Linked DNA regions of Coturnix japonica. The protein of the gene in region 2 interacts with the protein of the main gene of each other region in a biochemical or structural test. Links are inferred from orthologs where the notes say so. Each region holds a gene or a part of one and is shown on either strand. Other genes may lie near its edges.

Region 1 (3,515 bases), on a different chromosome or scaffold from region 2:
AAATGAAGGTGACCAGAACAGGTTGCCCAAGGAGGCTGTGGATGCCCCATCCCTGCAGGCATTCAAGGCCAGGCTGGATGTGGCTCTGGGCAGCCTGGGCTGCTGGTTGGTGACCCTGCACACAGCAGGGGGTTGGAGCTGGATGAGCACTGTGGGCCCTTGCAACCTAGGCTGTTCTGTGATGCTATGATTCTGTGCTCACAAAGGAATGGAATTCTCTTTTTGCACTGCGGCTCAGCCTTGTAAAAGTGATCTCCTGCGTCTAAACCACAGACAACCAACTTCTGCGCGATTATAAAGAGCTCTGGTTACTTATTCTTATGAGTCCAGAAAGATATTTAAGAGGAATTATGCGAACAAAAACGTGAAGTCAGGGCTCCTGTCAGGCGAGCAGCACAACCATGGATATGAATCCAGTTACTGCACTGAGCCATGGGAAGCATGGAAAAAATGTGGGAGAGAAGGCAAAGCGGTAAGCTGATGATTCACCTTCACAATCAAACTGAGAGATACAGAGATCAAAGAGCGAGCTGTTTAGAAAGATGTAAATCTGAAGGCAGGAACAGGTGTGGATTAGTTTCTTGCCACCGAGAAATGATTTCTTTCTTACTTTATTTTTCCTGTTCTACTTCAAGACCCGCACCTACTGCTATGTGCCTCTGTAAGTAGCTTTCTCACTTCTGTTTGCAACTACTGCTTTCTTTCCTGCTATTTTAAGGAGAGTTATAAAAATCTATCAGTAATGATAACTCTTCCTCCTTTCCTCTCTCTCTCCCCCTTCTCTGTTCTAAGTCTGGGAGACAAGTCTGGACCAATTTCTCCATCCCGCCTCTGGCAGCAGAATGCAGCATTTCAGATCCTCCACCGAGTCCCGGCTGCTTCAAAGGCAAAGCCCTACTTTCTTCCGTTAAGATCATAAGAAATATAGGGGGAGGGGGTCAGCTCTGTTTGGACATAATTACACTTCATCAAAAGAAGCTTTCTTCATCTTCCATGCGTGAAAAGTCTGCAAGCAGTTAAGTCTGTCTTTTTTCTTCCTTTTTTTTTTCCTTTTTTTTTTTTTTTTTTAAAATATAAAAATTGCTATTTGGGAAACCAGCCAAAACTCAGAAAGCCAATATAGTAAAACAGTGCACACCCTTTGTTTTGCTTTGAAGTCTCTTAAATAAATATGTTGAGGGCTTGAAAAGTACACTATCGCTTTTCCATAGATTCTACCCAGACCGATCAGAGAAAAAACTCTATTCCAGGTTGAACGACCGGTGCCCAAATTCAGAGGTTTTGTGTTCCTATGTGCCCACATCTACACCTACCGAAGTGTCCCAGGCCCTCTGGTTGGTTTCCTATGGGCTAACAAAAAAGCTTTTATCATACATTTCAAATGAAACGGCACATCTCGGATCCTTTTGGTACTGCTGGAGCAGTCACACATTGAACTCCTATGGTAAAGCACTGCTAGCGACCGAGCCAGGGAACCTTCAGACCTCACCCAGCAGCACAGTAACAGAGCAGGCTGGTTTTTCCAAAGGAAGCAAGACAAATGGAAGAGGAAGGCAGCACTGCATCCCAAAGGGCAGCGAAGGCCATATTTATACTGCATCGCTTCTGCAGGAGTTATTCTGTTTTCAAGGTATCCTTTATTACCAATAATTTTCAAGATGTAAAATGATAAAGAGAGCTGTTGGCCAAGTCACTAATATAAAAAATAGCTGCTGTGAGCCACACTGATGGAATCACTTTCACAAAACAGCCGTAATTGTAAAAGCATGCAGTCTGACTGAAACTATCGCAGCCTCCATCCTACGTTTGGTGAGCATTTTGGGGGGAGAAATAGCCCTAAGATGTACAGCTGCCGTTAAAGTGTGTGACCGTACATTAGCTTTATTACTGATTCTCCACACACACAGTTCAGCTTTTATTTCTTCCTTTCCCTCCACGCAGGGCCAGTTTAAAACAGAAATAATTACTGCAAGTACACAACGCATAAACACTGAGGCTGAATCGATGGCTGATTGATACAACAGATCCCTCTGAGCATTCCTGCACTAAGACTGAAGTGCCAGCTTCCCTCAAGTGGTCATTTCAATCACTACCTTGAATTTTAAAGGCAGCTGCAAGAATCTTACATTATTTTCGTGCTCTCAATGGTGACAAAGGCTTTCTAAGTACGCTTACAGTGAGAGCGGAGCTGGTCTCTTCTCACTGGTGACAGGATGAGAGGAAATGGCCTCAAGCTGAGTCAAGGTAAGTTTAGGTTGGATGTTAGGAAACACTTCTTTACAGAAAGGGTAGTTAAGTACTGGAATAGGCTCCCCAGGGAGGTGGTTGAGTGGCTGTCCCTGGATGTGTTTAAGAGCCGTTTGGATGCAGTGCTCAGAGATATGATTTAGCAGAGGGTTGTTAGAGTTAGGGTACTATGGCTAGGCTGCGGTTGGACTTGATGATCTTTGAGGTCATTTCCAACCTGAGTAATTCTATGATTCTGTGATTCCCAGGTCACAGGATCCTCCTGAACAGCTGGAAGACAATGACAGCACTCTAAATCTCCCAAAAAAATTGGAAGCTGCCCTCCCTGACATTTAAAGACTGAATTTCGTTCCATCCAAAGCTTACCATCAATTCATATACGTCAGGCAGGTTACTAACAAGAACAGCGAGGTTTCTGTCTGCAGGTCACACACAAAGGGCAGGGAAGCACCAGAAGGCTTTCTACCAATAGCTGTGAGCTTTCAAAGACCATAACTTAAAACACATGTGATGTGCAACGCTCCTTTAATTCTAGCTCTCCTGCAACAGCTCCAACAGAAGCGCTACTGCTGAAAGGAATCCTTCATCTCTTCTTACAGCGGCCTGAGATGCACTGCCTGACCATAAGAAAACCATCACGAATATCCTCGTTTCCTTCCTCCTCTGCTGCGTGATTAAAATGGGGAACCAAGGTATTCTGTGAATCATTTCTCAAAACCGGCGTTCCAAAAATGAACAAAGACGTGGCAGGAAAGCTTTGCAAGGGAGAACACCTCGCTGGGCTGGCAAGTTTGCAAATAAAACTGGCATGTGTGAAAGGCAGGCAACAATTTATCAACACACGTTTCCTTGTGAAACGAGGCTGATGCTCAGGCCTTCCCTTCAGCCTGCTGTGCATGCACACAAAGCAGCCACCTACCTCTGCCACTCCTGCCCACAAATCGCAGGTCATTGAATCTGGCCACCTGGTTCTTCATCACAGCCGAAGCGTTTCGGAGCTCTGCAGAGTAGTTCTCGTCATTCCCAGCCATCACGGTGACCACGGTCCCATCAGGCACTTCTCCTAAGGCCACCACCTGTGAGAAGGGGACAAGAAAGCACAGCTTGTGACAAGGCTCTGCACTTCCTTGCAGTGCATACCTTCACAGCACTGAGCCTCTGCTCCAATTCCAAGGTGGGAGAACAGCAGCTCTGGCTTCTCCTACTATTAATTCAGTCCATCTCCTGACACAAATGTTTTACATTTTATCATAAGTCCTGCTGGAAAC
Region 2 (4,108 bases):
CCCCAACGCACCCTACGCTTACGGCAGTCAGATTTCGGTAAAGCCCAACCCCAAGTAGAGTTCAGGGAGCCCCACTGGGGTCAGAGGGAGTAGCGCAAAAGGTAAAGTGAGGACAGCACCAGCACTCAACTTAAATGCTTTTATTGACAATGTCTCTGAACAATAATAAGCAAACAATGCTTAAGTTTCATCCAAATTCACTTTCCACATGTCAAAAAAGACCTCAAGGTAGAAAAAAATAAAATAAAAATATAAATATCTGAGAATCCATCTTAATAAATAAATTAAAAACACAATAAAAACGTTTTCATGGAAAACTTATGTCAGAACATTCAGACCACCTCAACAACGCATGATCAGTAAAGTTACAATGAACATCGATGTAGAACTACAGTACATGGATATAGCTATTCATCTACCTACTAGAAAATAAAATAGAGTCTCTTTCCCCCCCCACATAAGATGGGTCGTTGCTAAGAACACGATATTGCCAGGAACACAGTAGTTATTGTTAATCAGCTGCACTAGATACAAGTCGGAGATACCCAGCACCAGGTTAATTCCAATCATTTAAAACCAAGGGATTAATTAGTTAATGCTAGTGATACTAAGGAGGGGGGGAGTCACCAACCCAGCCATGTGGGACATGCTACAGACTACCAGCTCTCACAGATGGGCCGTTGGGGACAAGACAAACTCCATGCGGTTTGCTACATCTCTGGAGGAGGTATGGGCCCAGGCACTCCATCAGGCCCCGGGCCTCAGATGGATGGGGTGGGGGTGGCGGCGGCAGTGCCCTCCCCAGGCCCGGGGGGCGTGGTGAGTCCGTGGGGGTGCGTGGGCAGGGGAGGGGGCCCGGCAGGTCAGTCAGTGCGGGGCGAGCCCCTCACAAGGCCAGCAGGGTCGGGGAGCTGAGGGAGTCAGACGACGGCTCGTTGCTGCTGCTGCCCTTCCGGTGTGCGGCAGCACAGCTGGGGAAGGCGTCCGCCTCGGGGTAGGTGAAGACGAAGGTGGAGGTGTAGGTGCTGGGGCACGGGGTGCAGGTCACCACGGGGGTGCAGAGGGGCTCCAGCTCCCCGCTGCTCCCGGCGCCCAGCGGCTCCCAGTCCGACGCGTAGAAGGAGGAGGCTCCGGGCAGGTCCATGTCAGGCACGGAGCGGGAGGCCTCCCGCGGCCCCGTGGAGAAAAGCAGCTCGTCGAAGGGCTCGGCCTTCAGCTCCAGCCCGCTGCCGCTGGGCTCCTTGGGCGGCACGGCCGGCGGCGCCTCGGTCATTAGCGGCAGGGCGAAGGTCTCCTCGGCCGCGGCGGGGCTGGGTGCGCCCAGGTCCAGCGCGGTGGCGGCCGCCAGCTCCTCGGAGAAGCGCAGCTCCTCGGGCATCTTGCAGGCGGGCCGGTGCGCCGCCAGGATGAACTCCAGCTTCTCCTTCTCCTTCAGCAGGTTGGCGATCTCCGCCTGCAGAGCGGACTTCTCCTCCTCCAGCTGGTCGGTCTCCTGCGGAAGCACAGATCGGGCCGTCAGCCGGAGCCAACCTCACCCGCCCGCCCCCACCCGCGGGGTCCCGTCCCCGCCCCGCAGCCCCCGGGATCCCGGGGCGGCACTCACCGCCTGCAGCGTGTCGGTCAGCTCCCGCCGCCGGTTGCGGCACTTGGCCGCTGCCATCTTGTTCCTCTCCCGGCGGATCCTCCTCTTTTCCTCCTCCTCCGGGGACAGCTGCGGACACAGAGGGCGGTCAGCGCGTCCGTCAGACCCCCCGCCTTTCCCCGCGCCCCGGCCCCTCTCCCGGCCCCCCATTTCCACCCCCCTCCTCTTCCCCTTAGCCCCGCTCACCTGCTCGACTTTGCCCCTTCGTCCGATGCTTTGCCCGCGGCCGCCCGGCGCCTTCAGCACGGCGGGGCGGGAATAGGCGGCGGGGGGAGCGGGCGGCGGCACGCCGTAGGGGTGCCCGCGGTTCTGGGAGGGGGCGACCGAGGAGATGAGGGTGGGCTGCACCAGCCACTGCAGGTCGGGACTGGTGGAGATGGCCGTCACGGTGGGTACAAAGTTGGCGCTGGACACGGCCAGGTCGGTGCAGAAATCCTGCGGGACATAAAGTGGGGGGGGGGTTCGGTGAGCGGGGGGCTGCGGCCGACACTCCCCTCCGAGCCGCTCCCCGCCGCCCCCGGGGCCGCGCCGCCAGCGCCGCTCCGCACGAGAGCGGCCCGATATAAATATCTCTGACGTCCGCGCTGACGCAGGCGCCGCTCCGGAGTCTCCTCAATGAACTCGCGTTTTATCAATGAAGCCGCTTTACACACCCGCCGCAACGCGCAGCCCGGACCCCGGCTCCCCCCGCCCGCCCCGCGGCGGCGTCGCGGCCGCTCCCCACTCTGTCCCCGGCCCGGTTGAAGCCACCCGCCCCCCTCGGGTCCCGCATCGCCCCGACCCGGCCCGAGGCGCGCCCCCCGCACCCATCTCCCCCCAGCACCCCCAGAGCCCAGCCCCGCGGCGGCCGCGCAACGGCCCCTCACCTGCGAGTTGACGGGGGAACCCATGCTGGAAAAGGAGTCCGCCGGGGACGGGTAGTAGGTGAGGCTGTCCCCGGCCGGGGAAGCGCTGCTGCAGCGGGAGGAGGGCGCCTCGTACTCCCCGGCGAAGCCCTGGTACATCATGTCGGCTGTTTGCGTGGCCGTGCGGGGGCCTTGCGGTGCTATAGCGGAGCGCCTCGCGGCAGAACGCAAAGAGGGGCCGGCTGCGTCCCTGTATCCGCTCCGCGCCGCGCGTCTCTGTCTCCGCTGCCGGAGCTGCCTCTGCCGCTGGAGTATCGCTCGGCGCCAACCCTTTATATCCTGCTCCGCGTGAATCGCACACGTCACGCGGGACGCACCACGCCCGCTCGCGGGGGGGGCCGCTCTGCCCGCGTCCGCCTCGCCCCGCTCTCCCGGCCCCGCCGCCCGCCCCGCTCCGCCTCCAAGTGCGGGGAACGACGGCACCGCGGGGCGGAGGAGGCGCGGCGGGGCGAGGGGAGCGCGGCGGGACGGGCGGGAGGAGCCGCTCCGGGATAACCCCCCCCTCGCGGAGTGGTACGGCCGGTCTCGGGAACCCACTGACGCAGATATCCTTATATGGGATACATCCTGTGCGAGGGGGCGTGACTGACGGGAAGCGCTCCAGGCTGCGGCCAAGTGCGGCGCGGGACGGGACGGGACGCGGTGGGACGGGGCCGCCCCGACCCCCCCTCGCGGCGCTCCCCCGCGGCCGGCAGCCCCCGCCCCGAGCGGCCCGGCGGGGCTTCGTGCTATGGGAGCCGGCCGCGGACACGCGTGGGGTGCGGAGGGGCGCGGCGCCCTTCGTCCCCTTTGCCCCGCGGCGGGAGGGTGCTCAGCGCGGCGGGGACGCGTCCCCCCGGCGGGGTCACGCACACGGAGGGCCGGGAAGGAGTGCGGGGCGGCCCGGGGCAGGGCAGCTCTCGGGGAAGCCCCCCGGGCGTCGGGACGGGGGCACGGGCGGGGGGCGCGGGGGGAGCGGCGAGGGCGAGGCCCGTCCTTTCCTCCAGTTTGGGTTTTGTTTTGATCCCCGTCGCGGCGAAGCCCGGAGACACCCACCCACGGCGGGGATGTCGGCAGCCCTGGCTCGGGGCAGGCAGAGCCGGCGGCCAGACCGCAGCCTCGCCTCGCACGGGAGCCAAGAGATCGCGGCTATAGATAGTAACAGGGAAGCTGCAGCGGCAGCGTGTTTACAGCAACAAACAGAGCCCGCAGCGCAGTCTCCAAGCAGGAGCGTCACCCGTGCAGGCTGGGATCCTGCTGGCAGCCTCTCCCGCTCTTTGAGCTCACAGTCTAAATGCGGCTCCTGATGCCGCTGCCGCTGTTGCCGCGCGAACAACCTCCGTTCTTAGAGATCTGGGCCACGGGGGCGGGAGAACTGGGCCAGCTGCTATTTCTGCGCTGCCCGTCAGCGCCGAGGGGACAGCCAAGGACTGCCGCAGCGCACGGCTCCGCCGTTCCCGGCCGAGGGGCCCATGGGCCGGCGCTGCTCTCACCGGCTCCGGGCCTGCCAGGGCTGCTCCCTCCATGGGACCGGCCCGGACCCCCCGCCCCTCGCTCTGGCCGCAGCTCGGAGAGCCGCCCT

The links. The genes of interacting proteins can lie anywhere in the genome.
Region 1: the proteins of FOS (region 2) and RUNX2 form a complex in vitro, tested with the Homo sapiens proteins (2 studies listed by BioGRID). The link is inferred for Coturnix japonica from reciprocal best matches to the Homo sapiens genes FOS and RUNX2.

Annotation. Positions count from the first base shown.
Region 1 is NC_029518.1:99,729,610-99,733,124, reverse strand, and holds part of RUNX2 (runt-related transcription factor 2), read right to left. Parts: exon of another isoform or gene 3,324-3,515; coding exon 3,167-3,323; exon of another isoform or gene 2,496-3,166; intron 2,245-2,495; exon of another isoform or gene 1,942-2,244; intron 1,631-1,941; exon of another isoform or gene 1,251-1,630; intron 473-1,250; exon of another isoform or gene 183-472; intron 1-182. UniProt on the Homo sapiens protein: Transcription factor involved in osteoblastic differentiation and skeletal morphogenesis. Essential for the maturation of osteoblasts and both intramembranous and endochondral ossification.
Region 2 is NC_029520.1:34,667,227-34,671,334, reverse strand, and holds FOS (proto-oncogene c-Fos), read right to left. Parts: upstream 2,811-4,108; 5' UTR 2,650-2,810; coding exon 2,509-2,649; intron 2,078-2,508; coding exon 1,829-2,077; intron 1,712-1,828; coding exon 1,604-1,711; intron 1,493-1,603; coding exon 887-1,492; 3' UTR 126-886; downstream 1-125. UniProt on the Homo sapiens protein: Nuclear phosphoprotein which forms a tight but non-covalently linked complex with the JUN/AP-1 transcription factor. In the heterodimer, FOS and JUN/AP-1 basic regions each seems to interact with symmetrical DNA half sites.